2 linked regions of the Callithrix jacchus genome follow. The protein of the gene in region 2 interacts with the protein of the main gene of each other region in a biochemical or structural test. Links are inferred from orthologs where the notes say so. Each region holds a gene or a part of one and is shown on either strand. Other genes may lie near its edges.

The links.
Region 1: the proteins of SEMA4D (region 2) and CD72 form a complex in vitro, tested with the Homo sapiens proteins (2 studies listed by BioGRID and IntAct). The link is inferred for Callithrix jacchus from reciprocal best matches to the Homo sapiens genes SEMA4D and CD72.

What each region holds. Positions count from the first base shown.
Region 1 is NC_133502.1:142,530,896-142,535,182, reverse strand, and holds the start of CD72 (B-cell differentiation antigen CD72), read left to right. Parts: upstream 1-1,303; 5' UTR 1,304-1,413; coding exon of another isoform or gene 1,414-1,495; 5' UTR 1,496-1,504; coding exon 1,505-1,706; intron 1,707-2,413; coding exon 2,414-2,485; intron 2,486-2,988; coding exon 2,989-3,078; intron 3,079-3,427; coding exon 3,428-3,763; intron 3,764-4,287. UniProt on the Homo sapiens protein: Co-receptor of B cell receptor (BCR) that plays both positive and negative roles on B-cell functions. Recognizes the Sm/ribonucleoprotein (RNP) self-antigen ligand, and coligation of CD72 and BCR inhibits BCR signaling.
Region 2 is NC_133502.1:73,234,449-73,238,254, reverse strand, and holds part of SEMA4D (semaphorin-4D), read left to right. Parts: intron 1-586; coding exon 587-680; intron 681-1,700; coding exon 1,701-1,814; intron 1,815-2,831; coding exon 2,832-2,983; intron 2,984-3,806. UniProt on the Homo sapiens protein: Cell surface receptor for PLXNB1 and PLXNB2 that plays an important role in cell-cell signaling. Regulates GABAergic synapse development. Promotes the development of inhibitory synapses in a PLXNB1-dependent manner.

The sequences.
Region 1 (4,287 bases), about 69 Mb from region 2:
GTCTTGAACTCCTGACCTCTTGATCTGCCCACCTCTGGATCACGAGGCATGAGCCACCAAAGTGCTTGTGTTACAGGCATGAGCCACCGCGCCCAGGCTACAGATACATTTTTGAGGTGACAGCCTCGTCTCAGTGGCCACTTCCTCTAGGGCTGGCTGGGCGGAGCTATTGGCAGAACTCTAGGGTCCCTGGCAGCGTCTCACCACACACCACCAATCATCCGAGCTGTTGGCATGCAATGAGGACCTTTACCCCCTTCCTTTTTCCTCCCCACAGCTGCAGGAGGGGGTTCTTCGGAGCGGATGCCACACTGCTTGGGCGAGTTCTTCCCACCCCCACACTATGTCTTGTTCCAGTTCCTATCCCTGATGTAGGCTGTTTTGGGGTTCTTATTAGGGGTCACATCCTGGTAAAAGAACATTAGGGAGTACCTTTGGACACCCCTGTTCAGCAGCCTCTTCTCCCCTTCTCTGGTTCCCTCTCTCCTCCATCAGCTAGGCCCCTATCACCTATGAGGGCCTCTCAGTCCCTGGGTCCTCTGCCTCAAATGCCCCTTTTTTCCTCAGGGACAGTGTTGGGACTTTTTAAAGGAAGAACTTTACTAGGAAAGTAGGAGGAAAACCAAAACCAAACCAAGAAAATGTCAAAACCTCTGCTGGTCCAGAGTCTGCGCTCGGCCTCTGGCTCTGCTCTGCTCCTCTGCCTTGCCTTTGCCTAGGAAGCTGCAGCCCTTCTTAAACCCTCTGCAACTCCCTTGCTCACCTGCTCCCTGGCTCCCCATGAGGGTGCCTGGGGGGAAGTGCTGCCACACACCTTTCCAGAGGTGCTGCAGTCGTGGCTGTTCCTCGCCTTGGCCTGTTCCTAAACCCACAGTTACTAGAAACCCCAGGATGATGAGTGACAGATGCAAACCAGGAGCCCCCAGTCTGATGGGGAGAATGGAGCCTCACCCTGGAGCTGGGGAGATCATCTGGATCAGTGCAGCTCCAGTTACACATCATAAGCCCCAGTGGACAAGGCAGCCGGGAGGAGGGTGGGGCAGAAAAGGGCAGATAACCAGGAGGACCAGTTTTGGGGCCCAGCATGGCCCACATGGGTCTAAGATGCATGGAGAAGCAGCACAGGCAGGACATGGGGACAGGCCCAGCCCCTACCCATGTGCTTTGGACCTCAGTGTCCCCTCTGTGGCCCCTCTGGCCCTGGCCCAGGGATTCCTTCTGCTTCATTGAGCCCATCTGTTTGAGACTTGCTCACATCTTCCTCTTTTGTGACTGGAAATCATAGGGCTAACTGCTTAGCGGTACAGTCACAGAGGTAACACAAAGCCTAGGTGTAAAGGGACAGAGAGGAGAGGGGCAAGGGAGGACGGTGGATGACAGGGAAGACGGGTGGGGGCAGAGCTGCTCGGGACCATGGCTGAGGCCATCACCTATGCGGATCTGAGGTTCGTGAAGGCTCCCCTGAAGAAGAGCAACTCCAGCCGGTTAGGACAGGGTAAGGGGGATGAGGGCTCCCCTTGATCCTGCATCCCCACTCCCTGCCCCACAGACCCCATTCCTGACTCCCACATCATTGGTCTCTATTCTCTTGTCTCCAGAACCAGGGGCTGATGAGGATGGGGAACTCACCTATGAGAATGTTCAAGTGCCCTCAGTCCCAGGGGTGCCCTTGAGCTTGGCTTCTTCTGGACTAGGGGACAAAGCAGGTCTGGAGATCCTGGGGGATGTATGTTTGTTGCAGGGGATGTGTTTGTTGAGGGGCTGTGTCTTGAGTTGGGGAGTCCACAATGTTGTTGTTGAGACAGGGTCTTGCTCTGTCACTCAGGCTGGAGTACAGTGGTGTGATCATGGCTCACTGCGGCCTCGATATCCTGGGCTCAATTGATCCTCTGCCCTAGCCTCCCAAAGTGTTGGGATTGCAGGTCCATAGTATTCTTGAGAGCTCAATACCCTGGGGGAAAGGAGGAGGCCGGTTGGTAGGAAAGAGAAGAATAGGAACAGGATAAATGGGAGCCAGGAGAGGAAGAAAGATTCCTTCAGCAAGGTGGAGACCCCAGGGCAGCCCTGGGGAGGGATGAGTTCTAATGGGAAATGGGGAGCCATGGGAGGGAAAAGAGGGAATGGGAGAGGTATGAGAGCAATGGGGGAGAGGGATTGGAGCTGAAAATAAGGGGCCACTGAGGAAACAATAAAGGGAGAACTAGGAGAGATGAGGGAGTCCCGGGACTGTGAAACCCAGGAGGGAGCCGAGAGAGCCCCGGGCAGACCAGGAACTCAGGAGAGTGACGGAGTGTCCCAGAGCAACTCTAGCGGGCTGGAGTTTCCCAGTGGCGAGGACGAAAAGCGGGTGCGCAGGAGGAAAAGGAGCAATACTCGAGGCGTCCTGTCTCACACTGGATGCTCCCCTCGACAGCGGTCAAGTCCGAGCAGCCAACAGCTTCCTGGAGTGCCGTGACGTCATTGGCGGTCGGGCGGATTCTCCCCTGTGAGTGTGTGTGCTGGGCGGCCTCGGGGACTATGGATGGCTCTGGGCCCCGCGGGGTGCAGCTCTTGCCGGGTTGAACCCTTCCAGGGCAGAACTGCGCCCCAGCAGAACCCCGCCCTGGCTGAACCCCTCCCTGGCTGCCTTGCGCCATTTACCTCCATCCCAGTGCGCCAGAATCCGACGTGCACCGCCGCCCCCTTGGATGGTCCCAATTCACCTACCTCCCCACCCTTCTCCTCTCTCCCTCTCTCCATCTGATATTTCCTTCCCCTTCTCCCAGGTAATGTCCCCGAATCCTTACCAGCTCTGATTCTGCAACACCTTCTCCCCTACATGCGAAACTCCCTGCTACCCAACAGAAACCACCATGCTTGCCCCCTCAGCTCTGCACCGCCCTCCTCTAGGGATGCCTTCCCCAGGAATCTCCCCTACGCACCCATCCACTAGTCTCTACTTTCTTTCCCGGGGCTGACTGCCCGCATCCATCCCACTGTCCCCCTAAGGCCGCACAGCCTGCCTGCCATACCTCCTGCTTGGCCTGCTCCTCACCTGCCTGCTGTTAGGAGTGGCTGCCATCTGCCTGGGAGTGCGCTGTGAGTAAGGCTGTCCCCACACCGTCCCCACTTCCCACTTACACCGAAGGACTTTCATCCCGACTCCCTCCCCAAAGCTGACCCACAAACCAAAGCTGACCCCCAAACCAGGGCTCATCATCACTACCACCACATGCTTAGCTTTAAGTTTGGTTTCCAGCCAGGTCTGTTGTCTTCCTGAATCGTCCTCACCTACTCCAGTACCTCCTTAAGTTTTAGGCAGTCAAATCTCGTATTTCAGCCTGTAATGTAAAAAGTTGCAAGAAGCAGAAAAAGGGCTGATGCTGCAGTCTCAGGGCACTAGGGCAGGGCTGGAGAAGACGTCCTCCAAATCTCTGTGGCCAAACAGATCTGCAGGTGTCTCAGCAGCTCCAGCAGATGAACAGGGTTCTGGAAGCCACTAACAGCAGCCTGAGGCAGCAGCTCCACCTTAAGATAACTCAGCTGGAACAGAGGGCAGAGGATCTGCAGGGGTCCAGGAGAGATCTGGTACAGAGTCAGGAAGCACTACAGGAAGAACAGAGGGCCCATCAGGAGGCCCAAGGGCAGCTCCAGGCCTGCCAGGCAGACAAAGAGAAGACGAAGGAGACCTTGCGAAGTGAGGAGGAGCAGAGGAGGGCCTTGGAGCAGAAGCTGAGCAACATGGAGAACAGACTGAAGCCCTTCTTCACATGCCACTCATCAGGTATCCGCTCTGGGGAGAGGAGAGATGGGAGGGATGGATTGGAGCGAGGAGATACTAGTGGCAGGGGTCTGTCTATCACAGTGGGCTGTGAGCTGTTCAGGAAAGGGACAGTGAACCAGAGTGGTGGCTGACATAAGCTGTCCAGCCTTGGCCAACAGAGAGAAGGACCAAGCTGCATACTGGATTTAGGGGGACCCACCCAGTTCCAAGGCATTCTGTGGGAGAGAGGAGGATGGCACCAGCAGTCCAAATCACAGTGTCCAAGGTTTCATTTGGCTGACATCAGTGACAAGGATCTGGGAACACTAGACTTGGCTGTTTGTACATCTTTCTAAAGACAGGGTCCTCAGCTTTAATTAATTTTCGTTATAGCTGAGATCCCCCCCAAAGGGTAAGACTTAATGACTGACATGGAATGCAACCTGGTGGTGGGACAAGGCAGTGAAGCTCTCAGCACTCACAGTAAGGTGGAGCCGGGAGTTGTGGTGTTGGAACTAGGATGGGGTGTCCATTTGTTTTGAAAG
Region 2 (3,806 bases):
GGGTGCTCTGGCCAGGTAAAGAGATGACCCCTAGATGGAAATGCCAGCCCCTGCTTCATTTTAGTGTATTGCTGTTCCGTTTTTAGTAATCAGATTGTTGCTTCATCTGGTATATATTTTAGTGAGTGGAGCGCGGTAGGGATTCTGCCTGTTTACATTTTTTGATTTCCTATTTATCGGGTAATCTAGCTTCTTAGAATGCCATCTTTATTGATGTTAAAATTCCGCACCAGGGCTTCCACTCACATACTGAGTGTTCTGTATTTGGTTTGTCCTGGCGACTTTCCAGCCCTAGAGCCATCAGCGTTGCCATTTCCATTTGCAGATGAGTATCCTGAGGGTCTGAGATCTTGGGAATCTTGGCCAGGGCATTGAAGCAAGGGCACCAAGGTGCTCATGTCCAGACCCAAGCTGAGCAACACACAGCCTGGCTCTGGTGGGCGGGACTCCCGTGGCGCCACACCCATCTGTGGCCCTGTTGGTCTTCCGAGAATAGCAAATTTGTAAAATTAAATGGTACAGAGACACATTATTACCACAGAAATTCAGCCATTTGATGAGGTATTCTCTTTTTATTCAATTGTAGAGTTTAACATCCTTTAAATTTCTGGGGAGAAATGAAGATGGCAAAGGAAGATGTCCCTTTGACCCAGCACACAGCTACACATCCGTCATAGTTGGTGAGTCCTGCCCCTCCAATTCCTTCACCCAAAGATTACAGTGGCATGTTAATTACCAAACAGGATATTCGGATCTTCTGTGAAGTCCTGTCTTCCTTGGCTTTGTTTAAATACAAGCTATCCTTACAAAAGACACACGTATCTGCTCAGACACTAATTTTGAATTCATTGTTCACAAAGATAATAGCTGCCATGGTAAATGTCACTTTGTATCCATCGCTGGCTCATGTCATTTGGATAATGCTAGCATGGTGAGCAGATGCTCCTGTTTGAGAGGGAGGTTTTGACCAAGCCACATGCTGTCTGTGGTCTTGCACCCCTGAGCAAGTGGCCTTAGCCTCGTGTGCACCAACTGTTGCATCTGCCAACATTTTCCTGGATGTGGGAGTTACTTGCTTGTGTTTACTTATTGCCCCACAGCTCTTAAAATGCAGCTGAACGTGGAGCATAAAATTATCCTCATCAAAGTGAGAGCATGCCTGTGGTCCTAGCTACTTGGGAGGCTCAGGTGGGAGGATAGGAGTTTGAGACAAGTCTGGGAAACAGCAAGAATTCACCTCAAGCCAGGCACTGTGGCTCACACCTGAATCACTGGAGGTCAGGAGTTTTGAGACCACCTGGCCAGCAGGATGAAACCCTGTCTCTACCAAAAAATACAAAAATTAGCTGGGCATGGTGGCCTGTGCCTGTAGTGCCAGGTATTCTAGAGGCTGAGGCATTAGAATGACTTGAACTGGGAGGTGGAGGTTGCAGTGAACCGAGATCGCACCACTGCACTCCAGCCTGGGCAACAGAGTGCGACCCTGTATCAAAACAAGAAACCTCATCTCGGAAAAGAAAGAACTAGAAGACACAGGATACCCCAGAAGTTGAGGAGACTGTCTTTCCCTTTCCCCGGGGTGAGGGTGGGGGCTTAATTGGTTTATAAAGGGAACCACTGTGTTGAATGTCTGTCCCAGTGTTGGTGCCACAGCCTGAGAGGTTGGTTCCCTTTTCCTCTTTTCTCCTGGTCCCCTGCAGATGGAGAACTTTATTCGGGGACATCGTATAATTTTTTGGGAAGTGAACCCATCATCTCCCGAAATTCTTCCTCTAGTCCTCTGAGGACGGAATATGCAATCCCTTGGCTGAACGGTAAGGAGGAGCAGTGCACCTCAGCGGGAGGTGTGGTCTCCTCGTGAGCATGCACCCATTGATCTCTCCTTTTGCTGTCTCTGAGCCCTGAGGGCCCCTGAGCTTGTGTCAGCCCCTGTTTGCGGGGGTTGGGGGGGACATTTCCCGAATTGCTCAGCAATGGCCAGAGTCCCAGGGTGCCTTGTTTGCTGTTTTCTCTGCTAACAGTGTACTGTCTTAAGACGGCTCCCCGCTAACCCCCAAAAATGGATTTGGGAGACTCTCATAAAAGTGAGAATCTGATAGTAAATGGTAAACTCAGACTAATCGAATGGGGACATGGTGTAATTTCCAGAGTGATATTAAAGTGTGGCATGAACACTGGTGTGGGCCCTGCCTCCAGGCCAGCCTCTAGCACCCGGTTGGATGGGCTCTGGGTGCCTTGTTGCTGCCAGCAGCACGTGTCTGATTTCCATCTTAAATGTGCAGGAAGAAGCTGGTGGCTGTTCATGGGGTCTTTTCTTCTGTGTGCCAGCCTGCAGAGCCCTGGATTTTGAACCTGTTGACCTCAGGGCAGATCCCAAGACCCAAGATTCAGGGACAGCTGGCTATTCCTCAGGGTGGGGCAGGATCTGGTGGTTAGAGTTTGTTTATTTGAAGCATGTGTTATTTCAACCTGCAAATGCATACCTTATGTAGGTCTGTGATACTGATACCATCTGGTTCCCTGCCTTGTAATCAGAAGGCCCAGCCTCACTTCTTCAGGTGGACCTGGGTAGGATGTGCTCCCCAGAACCACTATTGAGGGCATCTCTCTGAGGCCAAGGAGGTGGGGGTAGGGCACCCTTTGGACTCTGTGCTATCATCATTCCTGGACCCTGGGATTTCTGCTTGGGTTATGGCATGTGCACACTCCAGATATCCTTGCAGGGAAGCCCTCAGGCCCCCGAAGGCAGTGCAGGCCAGCCTGGTGACCTTGTGGGTGCAGGCAGTGCCCCAGCTCTGTGTTCCGGGATAACGGCTGACCTCTCTCTGCAGAGCCTAACTTTGTGTTTGCTGACGTGATCCGAAAAAGCCCAGACAGCCCCAACGGCGGGGATGACAGGGTCTACTTCTTCTTCACAGAGGTGTCTGTGGAGTACGAGTTTGTGTTCAGGCTGCAGATCCCACGGATAGCAAGAGTGTGCAAGGTGAGTGCCAGGCAGTCTGGCTTTGCTTGGCCCCTGCCTTGGCAATAGTGTGCCTGGATGATGAGTGCTCTGATCTTTATCTGAAATGTCACTTTTCCTAGCACTTTATTCCCTTGGGCCTCAGATGCCCCTCTCAATAGGCCTTATTTCTGGGGGTTGTGGGGACTGGAGGAATGCTGGCCTCCTGTTCTCAGGAGGTTCTGTTTTTTGATGCAACCTCCTCAAGCCTCCCCAGTGTATAAAAAGCAAGACTTTGTGGAATATATTCACCAGAGTCTGTTGGAATTTCACCATTTGCCTCTTAATCTACCTAAGAGTGAAACATTAACTGACAGCTTAAGATTAAGAAGAGAGAACCAAGACTGCCAAAACACAAAGCTTTAGGTACATACTGGGGGAGGGAGGGTGCCTTTAAAGTGACACACTGAAGGCGCAGTGCTCAGCACAAGAGAACAGCCTGTGGGCTTGACTGTAGGAAATCTCAAGGCTGCTCAGTGGCGGTTTCTGGGAGGTGGATTGTCAGGCCTCAGAGGAGCCATGGGAAACCACGAGAGCCAGCTGCCGTGTCCCTGGCCAGGTGCTCAGCTCGGAGCAGGTAGCTGTTCATCCCTCGTGGAAATTGTTATATGGTTCCTGCGTGGCCCTTTCTCATATAGTGATGACCATCAGGACATCAGAGAAGCAGGGGTTCCTTTCATGCCTATGGCACACAAAGTGGGTGCTTTTGATGCTGTTCCCTTAACAACCCCTCACATGAAGAAGGTGGGTGATATGCACACCAGAGTATCCACCTGGTGCTTTGCCTCTGCCCAGGCCTTCTCTA